Caenorhabditis elegans: one gene and its partners. The protein of the gene in region 1 purifies or fractionates together with the protein of each later gene. This does not show direct contact. Each region holds a gene or a part of one and is shown in the gene's direction. Other genes may lie near its edges.

Region 1 (7,511 bases):
TTTTGCCCAAAAAGTGAAGTGAGCACGTTCTTAACCATGCAAAAAAAGTTGAGAACTCTGCGTCTCTTCTCCCGCATTTTTGTAGATCAACGTAGATCAATCCAAAATGAGTTACGCTTTACATCACATTAGACGCACAAATTTATCCGGGGAGCCAATTTCAAGCTGTATTTTATTGAAAATCGAACAATTTCACAATTCCAACCAGTAGTGTTCCTTTCCTTTTCCGGATAAGTTTGAAATTGTAAATTTTTTTCGAGAAAAACTTTCCTTTTTGCGCGTATAATATTACGGAAGCACAAAATTCTGAGAATGCGTATTGCACAACATATTTGACGCGCAAAATATCTCGTAGTGAAAACTACGGTAATTCTTTAAAGGACTACTGTACCGGTTGTGTCGATTTAAGGGCTTACCTTTTGAAACGAATTTCCGTTCAAAATGTGGAAGATGTTTTCTACAGTTTTTCTATTAATATTTCATCGATTAAAATATGATTTCCGTAAATCGACACAAGCGCTACAGTAGTCATTTAAAGAATTACTGTAGTTTTCGCTACGAGATATTTTGCGCGTCAAATATGTTGTGCAATACCCATTCTCAGAACTTAGTGTTCCCGTAATATTTGCAGATTGACGCCCAAATTTATCCTAGGAACAGCTCCCAGCCGATTTAAAACTAAATGTTTGCTTTAAAAATCCAATTTTCATCTTTTTTCCAGTTATCTATTCTGCTACATTCCTCCAAATAACGAGCATCCGCCGAGCTGTGTGAGCAAAGTTCGTCGAAACGGAGTTTGCAGAGGATTCGAGGATTATCCTATTTGTTACTGGGGTCAATGTGTTGATGGGCGGTGTGATGAGACGGTGAAGGCGCCGAAAAGGCTGGAGAAATTCAAGAAGTTTGAGAAGAAAATTGTTCCTTTCATTATGTAAAGTATAATTTTCATTTCTCATATATAATTTTGGGTATAGCTTTCAAAGTTCAGGTTTTCTTTTTCTTTTTCGAAATCCATGTTTTGTCCCCATGTCCCAGTATTCTAGTCAATTCTTTTTTCCTAAAATAAATATACAATTTTTCGCAATATATAAACATGTTATTACACAAACATAGACTGGGTTAAGAATGGAATGAGTAATTTCAAAATTATTTTCCAACCGGGGAAGGGGTGCGATTACATTGATACATAAGAAATGGAATCTAAAACGAAGCAATCAAGAAAAAAAGAATCAATAATTTGATTTATTAAAGCTTTCCAGTGCATTTCGAGAGCTTTTCCTTGGTCCTTTCGATGTCGATTCCCTGAAAATTTCCAAATTAAAAAATATAGAAATATTCGCTACTGGCACCTCACTTTTCGCGAATTAGTTGCTTGATAAGTTGTTGGTCACGTTCCCGGCCTTCCCGCTCGGATTGTAGTTCTGCTTCAAGTTGTGTAATCCTTTTCTTCATCTCATCATACTCCTCGTCCTTCTGCAGTTGCAGCTCTTTCGCTTTATTTCGACTTTTCCGGACGGCATCATTGTTTCGAGCCCGTTTCAATTTATAGATGGGCTCCACTTTCTCCTTATCCGGCTTTAGATTGTATTTTCGAGCCTTGGTTTTTGGCACGAAATTTGGTACCGCTGCAGCAGTCTTTTTGGAACTTTTTGGTTTGTAATAAGAATCATCGACACTTTCATCGTTATCCGAAAGCGATGTTTCTCCTTCTTCCTGATAATCGTCGTAACACGAAGGTCGTTTAATAGCTCGGCGAGTTGTCATAGTTTTCGAAGTTTTCATCGTTTCCGGCTTCTTCTCCTCCTCGGTCTTCACCTCGAAATTCATTTTATATCCGTCTTGTTCCTCGTATTCACCGGGATTTCGAAAACCGGGGCCATAAGCCACGTGCCGTTCGTATGGATTTAGTTGCGGCTGCTCGTAAGAGTCATCATCGTAGAGAATATTTGCTTTTTGAAGTTCAGCATCATTTAAGTCGACATTATCCGCAGGAACATCCAAATCGGTAAAGCATTGTAGATAATTATCCAGATCCAGCTGGGTTTCCATAAAATCCACAGGATTTCGTTCCCGATCACGTTGTTGGAGGGATGCGGCGAGAGCAAGTGAGTCCTGAAATTTTTCGTTTTAAAATTTTTTTGAAGAAAATTTGGCACGGTGCAATTTTCTTCAAAGAAAAATATTTTTTAATTTAAAATTTTTTAATTTCTTGAGATGGCAGAATTTCAAATTTGTGAACCTAGTCCGCGGCCATGACCGCGACGCAACTGCACAGCGGAGCGGCTCGAATAAAATATTTATTTTATTCCGTTTTTTCGCCCAGTGATTTTTCAACGTTTTAGCTGATTCTTTTTGCTTAAAATGAGCGAAAAATTAAAAATAACTTTTTTAATTGAGCTGAGTCGCAGCCTCAACTTTTTCAGTAAATTCTGTCATCATAATGTTTTGTTTAGCATTTTTTTCAGGGGATGATTTCGGAGCATTGTTATAATATTTTCTTCGAGAAAAATGTTTCGCAGATCTCCATTTCCGTGAAACTTCCAAAAATCTCACTTGTCTTGTGAACATTCCAGCGGCCGCCGACGTCGACGCTCCATTATCCGGCATATCCGTTAACTCGTGAAATCGAGGCGGATTTCCCATCGATTTATTTCCTCGGGAGTAGTTGTAGTTGTACATTCTGGAAAAAAATCAATTTAATTGGTTTTCTTCGAAATCTTCAAAAAATCGATATTTACACTGACTATTTAAATTTTGAATCTTCGTTGCGAATTTATACTTTTAACTAAAAATCTATGGAAATACGTTCCAGAAAATCAAAAATGCGGGTAAAAGCGGGTCAAAAGTGAGTGGCATGACCTTATGAATCACTCGGCTTTGCGAAAATGTTCGAGAAAACCGATTTGCGTCAACATGGGCAGTGCTGACGCGTTTCGCACCGAATTTTCGGGTTTTCGCAATACTTTCTTCTAAATGGGGATTTTCCGGTTGGAAATTCTGAATTTTTGAGGAGAAAATCGAGAAAATAATTGCAGAAAAGTTATGGGAACTGATTTTCTGATAAAATGAGCAAAATCGACCGGTGAACTGGCAAAAAAGAGCAATTAACGAAGAGATTTATTTTTAAAGATAAAAAAAAGCTTTTAACAAGCAAAAATTCTAGAATTATATGAAAAAAGTTGAATTTTTAATAAGTTAAAATCGAAATGTCACGTGAAATATATTAATTATCGATTTTTTAAATTGTAAGGTTTTCGCTTCGAAGAAAAATCAATTCTAGCTATGTTAAAGCATAATTCAACGAGAAGAATGTGCAAAATACAGAAATATATGGCGAAAATTCTCTTTTCGCCATAAAAAAGTTTGCAAGCAAGGAAATTGCCGGTATTTTTTCATATTTTGAAGGAAAAAATTACATTTTTAAGATCCAATTTCGAAGAAGTCAATTGTTCTGCAACATTCCACGAGAAAAACATCCGGTTTCGAAGTTTTTCACAGATTTATCAATTAATCACACGAAAATCTGCAGATTAATCTGCGAGAATATTTGTGTGGAACGACTTGTCCGAGAGGAGTACACAGGCGTTGATTTCAAACTCCCGCGCGCGGGTCTCGCAACGATTGTTTTCTTTGGCTGTCTGCCAGCGATATTTTCTCCTCTTTTTTTGGCTAAACTGGTCCTATTTTCGAATAATTTCAGCCAAATTTCCAAGTTTTTATCTAAATTTTTGAAGGAAAGTGTATAAAATGATAATTTAAATGTAGTTTTGTCAAAAATATCCCTGAAATGTTGAAAAATCAGTCTAAAAACTTTATTTTCAGAGTGTAATTTAAAAATATCGATTTTACGTCTTTAATCTTATCTTATGATGTCCTTATTCTCTTAACCGGTTCATTACTTTATTTGCTATTTTACAGGTAAGAAGATGCTGGTCCTTTTCGAGGTCGCAGCCGGTTATGCAGTATTCAAGCTCAGCAATGAGAAGAAGCTGAAGAATGTGGATAACATCTGGGAGGAGTTCAGCACTGCCGAGAAGGCTCAAGAAAAGTATATATTAGAAATTAAATTCATTTTTTAAAACTGTTTTTCTTACAGCTTGCAACTGGTTTCTTTCAAGAAGTTCAAGACTACCGCTGGAGCCGTCGAGGCTACTTCCGAGATCACAGAGGGAAAGCTCAGCAAGACGTTAAAGAAGCTTTTGAAGTCGAGCGTCGACGAGACCGAAAAATTGGCTGTCGGTGATGCCAAGCTCGGAAACTTGATCAAGGAGAAGCTCTCTTTGAATTGCGTCCATGACAGTTCCATCAACGAGCTGATGAGAGGAGTTCGCGCTCATATCGAAGACTTGCTCGCCGAGCACAAGGAAGAGATGAATGCCATGAATCTCGCCGTGGCTCACTCGCTCGCTCGTTACAAGGTCAAATTCAACCCAGAAAAGATCGACACCATGATCGTGCAGGCTGTTTCTTTGCTCGATGATCTTGACAAGGAGTTGAACAACTATGTTATGCGTGTCAGAGAATGGTACGGATGGCATTTCCCAGAGCTCGGAAAGACTATCCAAGATCATCAAGCTTATGCTAAGGTAGGCTCACAGTGGTGAATTATCCGTATTAAATTATTTAATTTTCAGATTATCAAGGCCATTGGCATGCGACAGAACTGCATCAACACCGATTTGTCATCGATTCTTCCAGAGGAGTTGGAGGAGAAGGTCAAAGAGGATGCTGAGATTTCAATGGGAACTGACATTTCTGATATTGATCTCATTCACATCAAGGGTCTTTGTGACCAGGTCATCGAGCTCTCTGCCTACCGGTTAGTGAATTTATACAATTTCTTATTCAAAACAAATTATTTTTTAAATTTTTTCAGTGCTCAACTCTTCGACTACCTCAAAAATCGCATGACTGCTCTCGCTCCAAATCTCACAGTTCTTCTCGGAGAGCTCGTCGGAGCCCGTCTCATTTCTCACGCTGGATCTCTCGTTTCGTTGGCCAAGGCACCAGCCTCGACGATTCAAATTCTTGGAGCCGAGAAGGCTCTTTTCCGTGCTCTCAAGACGAAGAAGGATACTCCAAAGTACGGATTGATCTACCACGCTCAACTTATCACACAAGCCCCACCAAAGGTCAAGGGAAAGGTTAGTTAAATACTTTATTGATTTTTCTGTTAAACTTAAAAATCGGCAAGGACCTTAAAAATTTTTTTTTTTTAATTCCAGATGGCTCGTAAGCTCGCTGCCAAGTGCTCTCTTGCCACTCGTATCGACGCACTTTCCGACGAATCCGCCACCAACGAGATCGGAATCGAATGCCGTGCCGCCCTTGAGAACGTGCTCAGAACCGAATCAGAACGTGGGCCATCCAAAAATAAGAGCTTTGGATCCCACCGACACGACAAGTACGAGTTCAAGAGTGAAACATACGAATACGACGCGTCTGCTGACACTCCAGCCAGTCGCAAGCACAAGAGATTCGATGATAACGAGGAAAGCACGAACGCAATCAAGAAGATGAAGATCGAAGAGGTTAAGGAGGAAGATGAAGCAGAGCCAGAGAAGAAAAAGAAGAAGAAGGAAAAGAAAGCAAAGAAGGCCGATACTGATTCTGATGAAGAATAGATGCAATTGGGGTGCCGACGAGAGTGATAATCCGTTTCTTTTGTTGTAATTCGTGTTTCTGTACCACGAAGACTGTATGTTCTTGTTGATTTGACTCGTTATTTCTTGCTAGTATCAGGTTTATCAGATTTTCCCCATTGTTAACACATTCTATCTGAAATCTCTTCAAACACAAAAACTGTCTCCTCCTCAAATTAATTTTTATCGTAATCACTTGTTTTTTCTTTTTACAATTCTTTGCCCTTGTTGTTTTCCTTATTTGTTATGTTGTCCTTTCCAAAAAAAAATGTTGAGATAAAAATTGGTTTCAAAAAGCTTTTATTTTCAGGGATTATCTTATCGAGAAAAGCATGAGAAAATCAAAAATTGAAACTGTTTAATTGCCGTACCCTTTGTTTAAAGGCGCAGAGGTTAAGCGTGGTAAGACCCATATCATGATATATATATACCCATATCTATGAGGGATGCGCCTTTAAGTGGATACGGTAGTTTTTTTAAAAGTTGATTTTGTTTGTTTTTTTATTAAATTTAATTACATAACTATAAGTTTTTTCAAACGATTCTGAAACAAAATTTAAGTCAAACAAAAGGAAAAAATAAATATTTAATTAAAAAAACCTTTATTCACTGGAATCGACTCATAAACCCGTAACAACAAATGGGTTGAAAATATTAAGAAATCTTCAAAAATCACAAAAAACACTAAACTAAACGACTTTTTGAGTATCTGGAAAGTTATTCTGATGATTATTATGATGCTCATTACACATAAATCATTGAAGAAGTCTTCTGAGCAAGTGAAGCCTCTGAGCGGCCTGCAAGAAATCAGAAGAACCATTCAATTCGTCGACAATATCATCCGATGGAGGCATTAAACCGGGCGGCCCGGCCCCATGGAGAGAGAATTCGTGTGGAGGCGCAGGTGGTGATGGTGGTGATGGACCAGAAGTCGTCGGAAGTGGTGATGGTGGACTTGGTGATGCGGATATTGTAGATGTTGGCGTGGATAGGGCTGGAAATCATCGATTTTTTTTCAATCTGGGTCTTGCCACGAACTTTGAATTTCATAGAAATCGTGGTGAGAGTTAAAAAATTGTGTTTTTTTTTTCGAAAATTACCGTTAAAATTTCAGCAATATTCATTTTTCATTCTCCCGAATGTTTTACTGATATAAAACAGTTAAAATTAAATACTTTACCGTGGCCTAGGTTTTCTAGTAAGAAACCTCGACCACACTCCAAACGGAAGCATGTAAAATTAAAGGAGAATGGCTGGCCGAATTTTCACTAATTTTTTTACGCGGCCTTCTAGTTAGAAAACCTAAATCGTTTGGTGGCCTAACTTGCGAATTTCTAGGCCACTTGACCTACCTGAAATAACATTCTCCTCTATCTGATGCAACTGATGGTTCTCCGTTTCGATTTTTGCGTTAATATCTTCAAATTCCTCGTCTGGCAGAGCAATTGTGACGTCAGTGACGAGCTCCGTCGTCGTTTCTTCGGTTACTGTAGGCTCTTCAGATGTTGTTGTGGTTGTTTCTGCTGTCGTTGTAGTTATTGGAATCGCTGAAACATCAAGGAGTGCTGATTTTTGAAATCTGATAAACAAATCGATTACTTTCAGTGGAAGTTGGCTCAGTGATAAGCTCCAAAGTTGTGCTGGGTACTGTAGTTGTAGGTGGACGTCTGTGGCCGTGCCGACGACTTGCAAATGCAGGGAACAGTGATGTTGACTCTGATGATTTTTAGGTTTAGGCTTAGTCTTATGCTTAGGCTTAGGCATAAGATTAGGTTTAGGCTTGGCGTCAGCGGGGGAGCGTTTACAACCGCCTCGCTCAAATGTATTTTGATAAAAGTGGCTATTTAGGCTTAAGCCGCGCCATACCGC
Region 2 (7,011 bases), on another chromosome or scaffold:
TTCTTGACCTCGCCATTAGTCGGTGTTGGCTTTTCCTCCCATTCATCATCAGAAGAGTCTTTCCGGGCGGCCTTTTTCTCGAGAAGCTTCTCACGTAGCGAAGATTCATTCTCGTTTTCTTTCTTCTCGGTTTTTCTATCTTCCTTATCACGTCGTTTTTCAGGTGATCTGCTTCGACTGCGCTTCTTGTCACGCTTTCGATCTTTGGATCTTGAACGAGACCTTTCACGTTTACGATCACGAGATTTGGAACGTCTTCTGCGATCTCTGCTTCTCGACCGTTTCCTATCACGATCCTTGTTGTCACGACTGCGACTGCGGCGTTTACGATCTCTGCTACGGCTTCTCTTCCTGTCACGATCACGGTCACGATCACGACTTCTAGATCTTCGGTCGCGACTTCGCCTTCTGTCACGATCTCTGTCACGGTCACGATCACGACTATCCCGTCTGCGACGCGGTGACGGCGAACGACGACGACGTGGTGATCGCGAACGGCGCCGATCCCGATCATCTCCGTTTCTACCCATCCGAATCGCTTCCTCGATTTCTCCAAGAGCTTGTTCGTCTGTTTTGGCTTGTGGTTTGATGATGGCAACGCGAGAGTGTTGAATTCTGAAGAAAAATATTTTAATTATTGGATTTAAAAGTTTTAAAATTTAGTTGACTTATTTTAAAGGTAGAATCGCGTGGACGGGGTTTTTAATTTTTAAAAAAATTAAAAATTAAAAAACAGACAACCATAAAAGAAAAACGGCGGAAAATTAGCCAAAATTGTGTCAAAATATTTTTTTTTGTTTTTCTTTTATGGTTTTTTTTTCTGAATTTGAGAAAATCACCATTAACCTTTAAAAAAATTAAAACTTTAAACTCACTTCAATGGTCTCTCCTTAAACTCGAATCCATCGTTTTGAAGTGCATTGCACACTGACGCTTGCTGTGAGAATTCAACATAAGCATATGCACACGGCAATGCATCCGGTCCCGAGGCCATTCTGGCGTACATTACCTGAAACGTGAAAATATATTTAATTTTGTTAAATACAAATGTTGTATTTTTTTCAAATTTCTAATTCATTTCTAAATTGTCGGTTGCAAACTTTCTACTCGTTTTGAAATTATGTGCACAATAATCGAGAGAAACTTAGAAACTATTCGGTCACCGAAGGAAGTTTCTACAAAAACCGTAATCTGCAGAATATGTTTCGATAACGATACGGTAATTTTTCTTTTCAATTTCTAATTTAGCAATATATTTCTAGAGTTCCGACAGTCTGATCAAGCCATGCTCTTGTAGCGGAACAGTCGCCTACGTTCACAATGGATGCTTGGAGCAATGGGTCCGTACAACATCAAACATTCAATGTACCATATGTCAGGATATGTTTGAGTTGATTCCGGCAGGATTGAAAGATTGGAACAAAATTACTCTGCCGAGACCACTTTCGGAACAGCTCGAAGACTATATGGAATTCGGATGTACTCTTGCGTGGGTGGTGTATATGCTGAGATTCGCATATGTCGGACTTCGTTATGGAAGCCGTTCGATGATCGAGAATGTCGATATGGCTATTGGAACAGGAATGATGCGCAGCTTTTGGTGGATGACATTTTGGTTCAATTTTCTTTACTATGGAGCAATGTGCTTTGTTTTCTTCGAGAAATGGCTTATTGATAATACAATTTTTAAGTTCAAGGATAGGTAATTTTCTATGTTTCTGATAACTTGATTTCTAACTGATATTTTCTAGATCTGGAAGCCCGTCAAGCCAAATTTCAATTGCAAGTCGATCTAGCAAGAGAGGAATGAAAATGCCAATAAATGCACATTGATAGAAATAAATCTTTCAAAAATATCGTTTTTAACCTACCTCTCCAAAATACATGTTGAACAGTTCGAGAACCTCGTTTCCATCAACACCTTTCGGAAGATTTCCAACGTAGACTGTTCTTCGAATTTCTTCGACTTTGGCAGAATCCGTGTCAGCCGGTAGAGGTGGATAAGCCGGTAGTCCGAGCTGCTCCAGTGTCGGATCGACTGTAATCAACTGAAAAATGGAATAATTAGACGGCGCGAAAACTAGAAATATTGCAATTTCTAAAATATCAGGAATTTGAAAATTTCTAAATTTAATTGCTTTCATATCCGACGATGCGCAGCATAGATTGGCGAGGATACACTGAAACTGAAAATTTAATCATTCGGCGAGTACTAACAAAGTTTTTTGATGATTTTCTGGATTACGCTTTCGGGATTTTACTGCATTCGTCATTTGGGTAGTGGCCAGTAGAACTGTAAAATGAACAAGTAACGTCCGTTACCACCAGACGCTAGTTGGAAAACTAGTGGGAAAATAAACTTACCAAAGCAGATCCATCGTCAGATTCTTGAATTTTATTGGTGACGTGAGGTGGGAGCTGTCGCTGACCAGCCGTTGTAGATCCACCACTGTTGAAAAAACTCTCCTCGTCCGGAATCACAGCTGAAAAAATGAAACTTTATGAAAAAATGCAGCTTTCAAAAAACTCACGATTCGGATATGGTAGGCAGACTATCGCGCAATCGATGACGACTGTGTTGGTGAGATGCTGAGCTACTTCGACACATCGCTCGTCGTCGAACTTGATAAAAGCAGTTTTCAGGAGAGTATTAGCTGTGATATTACCTTCTGATGGATAGACCTGAAAGAATAAATTTTTAATTGAAATTTTTAATCGAAAAATGTGTAAATTTGGAATAATAAACCAACCTTCAAATCCTGAATTTTTCCGAGATAGTTGAACATGTTGTAGATGTGATCCCTGGTAGCCGATGTCGAAATGTTGGCGACATGGAGAATTTTTACTTTTTCTTTCTCCTCCCCCGACATTCCTGAAAATAAAATAATCAATTTTCGTCTTGAAAAATAGAAAAACAAAATGTAGTTCAATAAATTTAAACCGGCGACGTAATTTCAAAATTAACATGTAAAAATCTATCGAAAAGGCATAAACTATTAGAAAAAGTTAGATTTTTATCGAAATTTCGTTTAAAATCGATAAAAATCAGATAAAACATGTAAAATTCAGGTTAAATCGAAAATAAATGCAGCCAAATTCGAATAAAAAAGAATCACTGCATGTTTGGCAGCGTGCCAACATCTTGTCGCTGCGAGACCCGTCCACTGTCTGCGTCTCTTTTTGGGCCCTTTTCGAAAATTACAAGTAGTTTTTTTCTCTTTTCTTTTGTTTCTCCCGTTGCCCGTTGTATTTTTCTTCGGAAATTAAATAAGTTGGTACAATAAATTAAAAATAAATGGAATTTTGATTATCTATTACTTTCAGATATGTTACTAGTGCAAATCATCGTAAAAATTTGAATTTACAGCTTTGAAATCGTTTTTATTATTTTTTCTCTTGAATCGATAAATAATTCTTTCGCATTGTAGCAATTTTCAACCATCTTTATTTCAGAAAAGAAGAAAAATGGCCGATGATGGAGTCAATCCGAAGGCCTTCCCACTGGCCGATACCAACTTGTCTCAAAAGCTCATGGATCTCGTCCAGCAAGCGATGAACTACAAACAGCTCAAGAAGGGAGCCAACGAGGCCACCAAGACTCTCAACAGAGGAATCTCTGAGGTAAGTGTATCGTAACCATGTTGAATTGCATTCCCATTTTCAAAATCAATTTTCGAACCAAATTAATTGAATTGTTTCAGATCATCGTCATGGCCGCCGATGCCGAGCCACTGGAGATTCTCCTCCATCTTCCACTTCTCTGCGAAGACAAGAACGTTCCATACGTCTTTGTTCGCAGCAAGGCTGCCCTCGGACGCGCTTGTGGAGTCACTCGTCCAGTGATCGCTGCTTCAATCACTCAAAACGAAGGATCTCAGCTCAAATCTCAAATTCAGAAGATCAAGGAGGACGTTGAGAAGCTTCTCATCTAAATCCTTCTTTTATCAATTTGTTGTTACGTTACCTCATTGTTGTTATATGATAATCCATTCATTGTTTTGTTGTCCCAAATTGCAAATACATCGTTTTTGAAAAAGAATGAACGTTTCTGCGAAACATGGACATCTGATTGTTATCAAATTGCATAATCGGCTACACTGTTCTAAAGTGTATCTTGGACACACAAGTACTTCATTGGCGTATGATGATGCGAGTAAATAAACCTCCCGGAACCGGTTGCATTCTAATTCGACCCCCGTTTGCCCTAGAATGTGTCTCTTCCTAACCATTGGCTTGCTAATTCCACCCCAAACGCCGTCACAACCCGATAGGGCCGCCAAAAAAAAGGCAATCGCTGATAACTACAGGGAGTCGCTTCCTCCGGGAGAAAAGACGGTTTCTGGCAAGGCAAGCACCGCCCATCTCCGTGTGCTCTGTCTCTCCATTCCCGCCGCTCCGTGTTCCCACCAACATGCAACAGTTTTCTCTACTCTTCAAACTATTTCTAGCCACAGTTTTATTATCTGTAACTTATCGCTTTGTATGTGATCGGTTATATTCAAATCACAAATCCGATGTTAGTGGATTTGTCGATGAACGTTTCGAGAAAGTTCGAGAGGTTTTTAAGTAAGTTCGACCTTCCTGCTCTCTTTTTTTCTCATTTTTCTACCCGTGTGAAGTGACAAATGTGTTTGACTGAACTGAAATTAATATTTACTTTGCCGGCATGCGTACAGGCAAATAATCTTTTTCTATCGTCATCTTTATTTTATTTTAAAAAAAAGAAAAGGAAAATGTCTTGCAAAAATCCTGGAACTTGTATTTTTACAGAAAGAATTTCGAAAATGGATGGGAAATCGAAGGATCAGCATTCGCTGTATTTGTTGATGGAAAGAAAGTCGTCGATTTATGGGGTGGATATGCTGATAAGCAGGCGGCAAGGAAGTGGGCTGAGGTAGATTTTTGAAAACAAAAAAAATAAAATCAAGCATTTTTCAATTTCAAACTTTTTTACTATAAATCTTGGGTTTTTTGCACCAAAAATACGGTTCCCCAGGTTTTTTTTCGATTAAAAAATAATTTTCCTCGAGATTTGGTTTTTTTTCCAATAAGTAAATTTGTTTTTATCGAAAAACTACGAAAAATCGATAAGAAAAATTCCGCTGCAATATAAGTTCAAAATTACAGTACTGTTTAAAGGTGCACACAAAAATACGGTTCCATAGGTTTAACCACGACACATTTATAATAAATGCGAAAAGACGTGCGCCTTTAAAGAATACTGTAACTTTTAACATCTGTTGTTGCGGAGTTTTTATCGATTTATCGTAGTTTTCTCATTATTTTCGTAAGCTTTTTTTGTTTCCATAATGTATTAAGTAATTAAAAAAATCATGAAACTTGTCGTGTCGAGACAGTATTTTTGACTCAAAATTTCGCACCTGAATTTCCAAACTTTAACCCAATCTAATACTTTGCCCTTATTTGGAATAATTTATCGTCGGTTTCCCTCATAGCTTCGACATATATTTTTCCACTGTCGTCAGATTGATATGAACTGATAATAATATCAATTTGATACGGGGAGTTTTTCGGTTCAAAACGGTTTTTGAAGTCTATAAAATTGAATGGAATGGCACAAAAACAGAGAAAACATTTTTGAAAAAAGTTGTGACATATCAGCAAAACACAAAAATTTTTAAAAAAATTGATTGTTTCAGGACACAATAACAGTGACGTTCTCGACTACAAAAGCTGCCGCGTCATTAGCAGTTGCACTGCTCTACGAGCAAGGAAAATTGAGATATGATGACCCAGTATCCAAGTATTGGCCAGGATTTGGAACTCATGGAAGAGATAATGTTACTATAAATATGGCACTTTCTCATATGTCTGGAATGGCATGGTTTGACACTCCAATCACTGAAGAAATCGCCGCGGATCATGAAAAAATGCGGCAAATTATTGAAGAAGAAGAGCCAAAATGGGCTCCTGGAACAAAGACTGGTTATCATGCATACACTTTTGGATGGCTAGTTGATCAAATTGTTAGACATACGGATGATCAAAAACGTGGAATTGGACAGTTTTTTAGAGAAGAAATTGCAACGAAATTGGGTAAGTAGTTTTCTATAACCTAGGTGCAAAAATGTGGCGGTTTTTTTTTTCGATTTTTATTAATCGAAAAACTAAAAAGTCCAGATTTCTCTCTTTTTTTCTACTCGAAAAATGGAAATTTTCGATTTTTCGTCTTTTTTAACCGAAAAACGAAGATATTCGATTTCTACTTTTTTTTAATTGAAAAACTATAAATAAGTAGTTCCCTATTACACATTCGTGCCGAAAAACTGAAAATTAGCAATTTTGTTTTAATAAAAAATTGCGTTCGCCTTTAAAGAGTACTGTAATTTCAAACTTTTGTGGCTGCGGAATTTTCATGAATTTTTCACAGTTTTCTCAGGATTAGTGAAATAAAAATTTTTTCTTCGATCTCTAGCTTTTGTAATCGAAAAACGAGAAATTTTTGAGATTTTACTTTTTTATATTGAAAATCTTAAAGTTTTTGTTTTTCCGTTTTTTTTTTAATTGAAAAACTAAAAAATTTCAGATTACCCTCGTTTTTCTACTGGAAAACCGGAAATTTTGAATTTTCAAAAAGCGACAAGCGCTCTCAACTTATCTTTGAATAATAATTTTTTTTTCAAAACTAAAAAATAATTCAAAACCTCCTATTTCCAGATGTGGACTATCACATTGGCCTCCCAGTCTCAGAACAACATCGTGTCGCCCGTATCAGTACACCAAATATGCTCAATCGTCTTGATGAGATGTGGACGGATGTCCGTGTTGTCAAGTACATGAAATCATTGTTCAAATTGATGACGGTATGGTTTTTTTGTCAATGAAATGAATGAAATTATCAGAGTGTTCCGGTACTTAACCGGGAGTCCACAACAATCAAGTGAAATTGCAAATAGTTTCAGTTTTTGTGTGTTTCCGATTGTTCTAGTACCGGTATACTGCAGCACCGCTTATCATGTACCAATCATATGATTTGGGAATTGAAGACAC
Region 3 (7,511 bases), on another chromosome or scaffold:
TTTAGGAAAACATGCAAGTTTGTTCATGGACTCGTCGATTGGCCTGCAGAACAGACAAAACTTCTTGAAGACGTGGATTTACCAGAGTGGGCACACTACATTCCATCCAGAATCGCTGCTCAACTTTGCGAGGGGATTGTTCGTTTGTCTGATGTTTCGGATCTCCCAGACTATGATGAGCCGTCTGCTGTGATTTATGAGCTTGATGCGATGATTCATGCTGTTGGTAATGGAGAAAACGATGTAAATTGGACTCATCCAGTTACATTGTTGAGAGAAAGTCCCGTTATTTCATCGTCCTGGACTTTAATCAATGAGCAGCTAGTGAGCCGATTGCATGATCATGAAGCAAGGCACATAGACGGAAGATGGAAACTTCCCGCGCTTTTGGCTTATAAAAAGAAGAACTTCGATGTGAAAACGAGTGAGGATATTATTTCCAATGATTTGTTCCTCGCGGAAGAAAATTTGGCGAGCAACGGGATGACGTCATTGGCCGTTCAATCATTGGAAGAGCTGCCGAAAGAGAAGGAATTAGTCGGTTTGGATGCAGAGTTTATAAAGATTAAGGTAAGTAACTAAGTTTCGAATACCCTATATTTAAAAATCCGGAATTTAGTAAAAAAAAATTCAATTTACAGACCGATCTACTTGAATTCGACGGAAAAACCGTGCAGATGAGAGCAGTTGGTCGAGCCTCCTGTGTCGACTCGACAGGCGAAAGGATCATATTCGACGATCACGTGAAGCTCACTGATGACGTAGAAGTTGTCGACTATCTCACGAAGTTTAGGTATGCTTCACTTATTTCGAATTCAATCTTTATTCACTTTTTTTCAGTGGAATCGTGAAAGCTGATCTGTGTCCAACGACTTCCGAGAAATACTTGACAACCCACAAGCGGCTTCTTCTACGAATGCATGTTTTGATTCAACGAGGAGTCACATTTGTAGGACACGCTCTGCATAATGATTTCACAGTGCTCAATGTGCATGTAAGATTGTTTTTGCAAAGTTCTAGCTAAAAAGCTAATTTTCAGGTGGCAGAATCACAGATAATCGACACAGTGACTCTGATGCGTCTTGGCACCCAGAGAATGTTATCATTGCAGTTTCTGGTTAAGGAGATTCTTGGTGAGGCCTTTCCTTTAACTTCGCTTGTCTAGCTCGGTTCAGATTTTAAATATAAATTTTTCAGGCGAAACTATACAAATGGAAGCTCACGACTCGGTGGTTGATGCGAGATATGCACTGAAGCTGTACCGAAAATATCTGGAAATCAAAGAGCAAGGACTTCTGGGTTCAGAAATGCGTCGAATCTACACTATTCTCCCGTGTCCATCGCCAAACCAAACATCGTCACCTCTGGTTGTATCTACTACACGAAAAACTCCAGAAGATACGAATCCAGCAGATGCTGCACCGAAGTCGGTTTAAATTGAAGGCCTTCCAGATAAGCTTACTGTAAAAGTTCGTAGAAAACCAGAAAATTATCACTTTCAGCATAATAATTATTATATATTTACTTACGTACCAGATTATCTCAAGTTCACTTAAGCTATCACTTTGTATATCAATTCCCCATTTTGCGAGTCAATTCATGTATTTTAAATACTCGTGTAATCTCAATATTCGTCCCAATATTATTTCTTGAAACATTCCCCTGTTTTTCTCAAAATATCATGTACCATTTATTTTTGTTTCTGTAAATAATACAATTTTGCAATTTATTAGCATTTTTAATTCTATATTCTTCTCTAAAAAATACAACTTCAAAAGCGGTGTTCTTGAAGTTATTCAAACCTCGGAAAATGATAGCCTACCTTTCTATGGGCTATTATTTCAAATTGAAATTTTCAATTGACATTTTGATTTGAAATAACTCGGAAATGAAAATGATCATTAAAGAATCAAATACATATTCTTTAAATTATAATTCGAGAACTAATTCACAAGTGATTAAGAATATAACAGGATACATTGTGATTAATTTGATTCATTTTAACTTGTAATTTTTTGTTGAAGTAATTCCGTTGGTAAGAAAAAATTTTATGGTCTAATTCATAAATAAATACGACGTATTTCTCAAGGAAAATATTTTTAATTTTTATCTACACGAACTTTAACTATAGAAGTGAATGGAATTATGGTGAAAGCCTCTTGAGAAGCCACACATCAACATCTCTTTCGAATACTATTCTATCGTGAAGACGATCCGATTGTCCTTGCCAGAATTCAAAATATCGAGGAATCAAATGATATCCACCCCAGGATTCTGGTTTCGTGATTGCTTGAGCTCCTTCCCGTACAGATAACTCTGTCAGTGCAACTTTTTTGGATTCTAAGAATTCTCTATCGGGAACCACTTTTGATTGATCACTTGATTTTGATCCGATTCGACTTGCTACTGGTCTAGAATTCCAATAAGCGACGGCCATCTCATCTGGAAGCTTCTCAACAACACCTTCAACTCGAATCTGAAATTAAATAATCTCGATTTCAAATTTTCAGCAGTTGAAAATTATACCTGACGATTGACTTTAGGCCAATAAAAGAGCATCGCGGCATTCGGATTCTCTTCCAATTGATTTCCTTTGCGGCTAGTATAATTTGTGTAAAACGAGAAGCCAGTTGGTGTGTACGCTTTCAGAAGAACCATTCTGGATGATGGACGAAGATCTCTGAATTAATACTTTCTAGGTTTTTTTCTCCATTTTGAATGTAATATGCTCACTTTCCGACGGTGGATAAGGATACTGCATTGATTTCTTCGAATGTTAAGTCAGATTGTGAAGCGACGTTACGAAACCAGATATCAAAAAGTTCGAATGGTGACGTGGTTGGTAACTTTGATTCGAGTAGATATGGATCATGAGAGTTTAGATATTTTGCCCGAATGTCTGAAAAATCAAGAATTATTGGTAAAAAATTATTATAAACTCACTTTGAATATCAATAGATGGTGTCTCCATAACGTATGATCTACGTGCCAAGTGACGATATTCGTGAACTGAATATGACCGAATGACCGTAGGAAATAGAAACAGATGATAAGAGAAATACATATATCGTGTGAGATGAAAAGACACCAGACGGTTAGAGTGTGAGATGATACAATCATTTAATTTATCAATTACCTAGTGATAAAAAAGATGACAGACGACGAGGAACGACAAACATTTCGAGGGATCAAGTGAGATTTCTCTGAAACGAATGTATTGGATCTTGGGGATAAGTCGTGGCGAGACCCAGAACATGTGCCAAATAACTAGTTGTTTTTTAGTTGAAAATGAGAGTCAGCTGCTCAGAAATATATGAAAGAAATCTACATTGAAGTTTTGACATCCTCGAAGCTGCTTCAAAAAATTATTTTAATTGACACAACTTTTCGTCCTAATGAGAGAAACGAGTTCACGAGAAGACACTAATAATATTGGAAAAGGTACGTTTTTTATTGAAAAACTGAACTTTACCTCTTGAAAGTGAAAAAGAGTTAATTCAATATTATTTATTTGCACTTGGTGTTTTAAAGTCAATTTTGTATTCCAAAAAAGAATAAGTTTTTGATCAACCTGTTTTTCATGCATGCCTGCATTGATTTTTTTTTGGATCTCCACACAGCATTTTAAAATTCACCACTTTTCCCCCAAGAGGACTCTCAAAAATTCACGTGCTAACCGCTCTTTTACATACGAGCCCGCTATTTGCTCATAGTCAGCTCCCCGATGCTGGTGTTCGAAAACAACTCTTTATTTTCAGGGCTCCCCGTTTTCAGTTAAACTGGCGGCTTGACCTTATTGGTCTTTATCAGTGCAATTTAACCACAACGAAGAACATATTGTTACGAGAAAGTAAATTTTTAATAAACTCGAATTTTTTTAATCAACCCGAAAAAAATAAGCTTTATTTGTATTTTAAACAACATTTTGTTGAATTTTCTGTTCTGTGCATTTTCGCGTCACCTTCAAGTCCGCAAACACCATTTGTGTACCGTACCACACCGGGAAAAATACGCTGGCGGGAATTGTCATCGTCATTGTCTTACTCTCTGTTTCTTACCAGTTTTCTAATGTTTTATCCGTTTATATTTTGATAATTGATCAATTAAATGATAATTATCATATTTTAAAATGATATAATCAGTTGGTGTGTTTTCCGCAAGCACTTATTGATTTCTGAGGCTCCGACAATTTCCATTCCGTTATTTCATTTTTAATGGGGTTATTCAAGTAGTGTCGGAAAATTAAAAAGTGTAGAAAAGTTACGTCACAGCTGTATTCAAGTAAACAAAAACATGTATTTAAATACATTTGTGACGTCACAAATGTATTTTAATACATTTTGCTACATTACTTGAATAACCCCATAAAATTCAATACTTTTTACTGCAATTAAAATCTTAATTTCAGCACCTGAAATGTCTGGAGGAACCATTATGGATACAATGACTTCACTTCCACATCAAAACGACCAAAACGTCATTCGTCACCTCACCAATCTCGGTGAGTCCTTTTCCATATTTCAGAATTTTCCAATTTGTCCCAAATTGAAGTAAAATCACCAGCATCTGGGGACGATGATATCAAGAAGAAAGAAGATTCGATCATGGAATTGGGAAATATTTTGGCTCAAAATAAGCAAACTGAAGAGCTCCGAAATATGATTGAACAAACGAGGCCATTTTTGGTGTCATTGGGAAAGGCAAAGGCTGCAAAACTTGTCAGAGATCTTGTTGATCTATGTCTTAAAATTGATGATCAAGATGGAGATATTAAGGTGAGCAGAATAATAAGCTTCAAATATAAACCCAACTATTTTCAGGTTGGACTCGTTAAAGAATGTATTCAATGGGCCACCGAGCAAAATCGCACTTTCCTCCGTCAAACACTCACTGCTCGTCTTGTTCGCCTCTATAATGATCTTCAAAGATACACTCAGGCTCTTCCACTTGGTAATATATTTCGCTGTAATATTTGAAAATAACTGATAATCTACTTTTCAGCTGCCGATTTGATTCGTGAACTGAAAAAAGTCGACGATAAGGACGTTCTCGTGGAAGTCGAACTTGAGGAAAGCAAAGCGTACTATAATCTTTCCAATATTGGTCGTGCTCGTGCTTCTCTCACTGGTGCTCGTACAACTGCCAACGCAATCTATGTGAATCCTCGCATGCAAGCAGCTCTCGATCTTCAATCGGGAATTCTTCACGCTGCCGACGAGAAGGACTTCAAGACAGCTTTCTCATACTTTTACGAAGCATTTGAGGGATACGATTCGGTTGATGAAAAAGTGTCCGCCCTCACCGCTCTTAAGTATATGCTTCTGTGCAAGGTAATACTCAAAAATAATTACTATTATATTTAAATCCTATATTAAATTTTTCAGGTGATGCTTGACCTTCCAGATGAGGTGAACAGTCTTCTGTCCGCAAAACTTGCTCTTAAATACAATGGTTCTGATTTGGATGCGATGAAGGCGATCGCCGCAGCTGCACAAAAGAGATCTCTTAAGGATTTCCAAGTTGCATTCGGTTCTTTCCCACAGGAACTTCAAATGGATCCAGTTGTCCGAAAACATTTCCATTCTTTGAGTGAACGAATGCTTGAAAAAGATCTGTGCCGTATTATTGAGCCATACTCATTCGTTCAAATTGAACATGTTGCTCAACAGATTGGAATTGATAGATCAAAGGTAAGAACCAAAAATATTGTTTTTTAAATATAAATGCAAAAAAGTTGTTAATTTTTACACAAACTTATAAAACTTTCAGGTCGAAAAGAAGTTGTCCCAAATGATTCTCGATCAAAAACTTTCGGGATCTCTTGATCAAGGCGAGGGAATGCTTATTGTATTTGAAATTGCTGTTCCCGATGAGGCGTACCAAACTGCTCTGGATACAATTCATGCAATGGGAGAGGTTGTCGATGCACTCTATAGTAATGCTTCGAAAATTAACTGATGATTTCTTCGAATCTTCATTTTTTGTTCTGCCTTGTTTTTGTACAATATCTCGACTTTTCCCATTTTCTAAATTTTCTTCGATTTTCCCTCACGGTTCAGTCCTCCGTTCTCCTTTTGAAAATTTATTATGTTTTTTTATAATTGACGACTCCCTCTTTTTTAACCTAGACCTTTCACTTTTCTCCTCCTCTGGAAGCATCAAACTATCCATTCTGCATTATTTTGTAAACGTTTAAATATCCCCCGAACCCGACGTTGTTCAATAAATTTAAGTTGCACAATTGTTTCAGTATATAGAAAGTCTTTGCAAAACCGTTAAAAGAGTTCCTATTTATGTGGCGCGAAATATCTTCTAGCGACTTTCTACCGTACTAATTATTTTTCAGTTCAATTATACGGTAGAAAGTCGCTATGAGATATTACGCGCTACAAATGTAGAAATTATATCTTTCTGATGATTACGTAATATCCAAATCTGTGATGTTAATAAAAATTTGGAAATTCAGTATATCAAATGACGCGTTCTTTATTGCGAATTGGTAAAAGGGGAATGAAAGAGAAACCTCTACAAATCGTAATGATATCAGATAACAAGGACGCAAAATTGAAAAAAGGTTATGGGAACGATAAATAGACAAAGACATCTAGCGCGATTTTAAATGTTTTCACACAATTTAAAAAGATTTCTATACACGGAGGAATACGTCGAAAATGGCGCAATCGATCTATCGGATGTACAAGTCTTTAAAATAACGAAAAAGCGGGCAGAAAACGTCGAATTTACAGAAAAAGACCACCACCCTTTCTGAAAATTCAACCATCATTAACTTCAAGCCGTTTTTTCGTTATTCTAATCTAAAAATTGCATGAAAAGGGTAATTTTGGGGACGAGGAAAAAAGGCAGAGATTCTAGTGTGAACATATGTATATTAATAAAACAAAAATAATAATCGAACATCACGCATAAAAATTTAAAAAAGCTACAAAAATTGCGAAAGGGGTAGTATATATCTCAAAAATTTGAGTTTGTGTTGAAGCCCCGTGTTTGAATGATTTGGAGAGCAGAAAATGAAGAGGGAAAAAACAAGGAGAAAATCAAGAACAGCCCGTATTTCGACATAAGAAGCTATCCAATACAAAAATGTGATGAGAATAAAGATCAGAAAATCGGGAACCGAAAGACCAGATGAGAAAAATCAGTTGGTGTTTGGGTTTTGCTGTTGATTAGCAGCTCCGGTATTGTTTCCTAAAGGTCCTGGGGCACCATCTGGTTGTGCTTGTGGCTGAGATCCTTGGGCTGGGACACAAGTGTTGGCAACATTTTGGAACAATCTGAGAGAAATATTGTTGTAAATCGTCTACGAAAACATAGTAAGACAATTGTATCGGATTATAAAACATTTGCCTAAGAGAATAATAAATTAAATTTACCTCTGTATTTCTGGTGCACAACTGGTGAACTCATAACGCCAGAAGTTGTATGTTGGATTCTTGATGAGCTCTATGAACGTTATAAGAAGTCCCCATGGATGAGGTCGGAGAGCTACAAGA

What was found.
Region 2: the proteins of nol-58 (region 1) and snu-13 fractionate together in Caenorhabditis elegans (co-fractionation; one large-scale study listed by BioGRID). This does not show direct contact.
Region 3: the proteins of nol-58 (region 1) and rpn-6.1 fractionate together in Caenorhabditis elegans (co-fractionation; one large-scale study listed by BioGRID). This does not show direct contact.

The regions. Positions count from the first base shown.
Region 1 is NC_003279.8:3,263,176-3,270,686, forward strand, and holds nol-58 (Nop domain-containing protein), read left to right. Parts: upstream 1-3,918; 5' UTR 3,919-3,926; coding exon 3,927-4,048; intron 4,049-4,096; coding exon 4,097-4,586; intron 4,587-4,634; coding exon 4,635-4,819; intron 4,820-4,876; coding exon 4,877-5,144; intron 5,145-5,225; coding exon 5,226-5,624; 3' UTR 5,625-5,937; downstream 5,938-7,511. Other genes in the region: tyr-5 (Tyrosinase copper-binding domain-containing protein), read left to right, coding at 722-935; Transcription factor zip-4, read right to left, coding at 1,230-1,302, 1,355-2,112, 2,554-2,679; pqn-72 (Prion-like-(Q/N-rich)-domain-bearing protein), read right to left, coding at 6,398-6,636, 6,995-7,189, 7,242-7,358.
Region 2 is NC_003280.10:10,655,069-10,662,079, reverse strand, and holds snu-13 (Small nuclear ribonucleoprotein associated homolog 13), read left to right. Parts: upstream 1-3,453; 5' UTR 3,454-3,465; coding exon 3,466-3,621; intron 3,622-3,701; coding exon 3,702-3,932; 3' UTR 3,933-4,053; downstream 4,054-7,011. Other genes in the region: marc-2 (RING-CH-type domain-containing protein), read left to right, coding at 1,121-1,219, 1,263-1,702, 1,752-1,833; rsp-7 (putative splicing factor, arginine/serine-rich 7), read right to left, coding at 1-615, 876-1,009, 1,872-2,048, 2,365-2,483, 2,532-2,682, 2,751-2,870; lact-3 (Beta-lactamase-related domain-containing protein), read left to right, coding at 4,412-4,566, 4,771-4,894, 5,661-6,057, 6,679-6,824. UniProt on the Caenorhabditis elegans protein: Binds to the 5'-stem-loop of U4 snRNA and may play a role in the late stage of spliceosome assembly. The protein undergoes a conformational change upon RNA-binding.
Region 3 is NC_003281.10:6,957,838-6,965,348, reverse strand, and holds rpn-6.1 (putative 26S proteasome regulatory subunit rpn-6.1), read left to right. Parts: upstream 1-3,347; 5' UTR 3,348-3,395; coding exon 3,396-3,441; intron 3,442-4,408; coding exon 4,409-4,501; intron 4,502-4,551; coding exon 4,552-4,775; intron 4,776-4,820; coding exon 4,821-4,950; intron 4,951-5,001; coding exon 5,002-5,330; intron 5,331-5,384; coding exon 5,385-5,690; intron 5,691-5,769; coding exon 5,770-5,958; 3' UTR 5,959-6,239; downstream 6,240-7,511. Other genes in the region: PolyA-specific ribonuclease subunit panl-2, read left to right, coding at 6-570, 642-793, 841-994, 1,040-1,133, 1,198-1,436; F57B9.1 (Putative pyridoxamine 5'-phosphate oxidase), read right to left, coding at 2,144-2,476, 2,527-2,680, 2,734-2,899, 2,944-2,971; CCR4-NOT transcription complex subunit let-711, read right to left, coding at 7,157-7,292, 7,392-7,511. UniProt on the Caenorhabditis elegans protein: Component of the lid subcomplex of the 26S proteasome, a multiprotein complex involved in the ATP-dependent degradation of ubiquitinated proteins. In the complex, rpn-6.1 is required for proteasome assembly.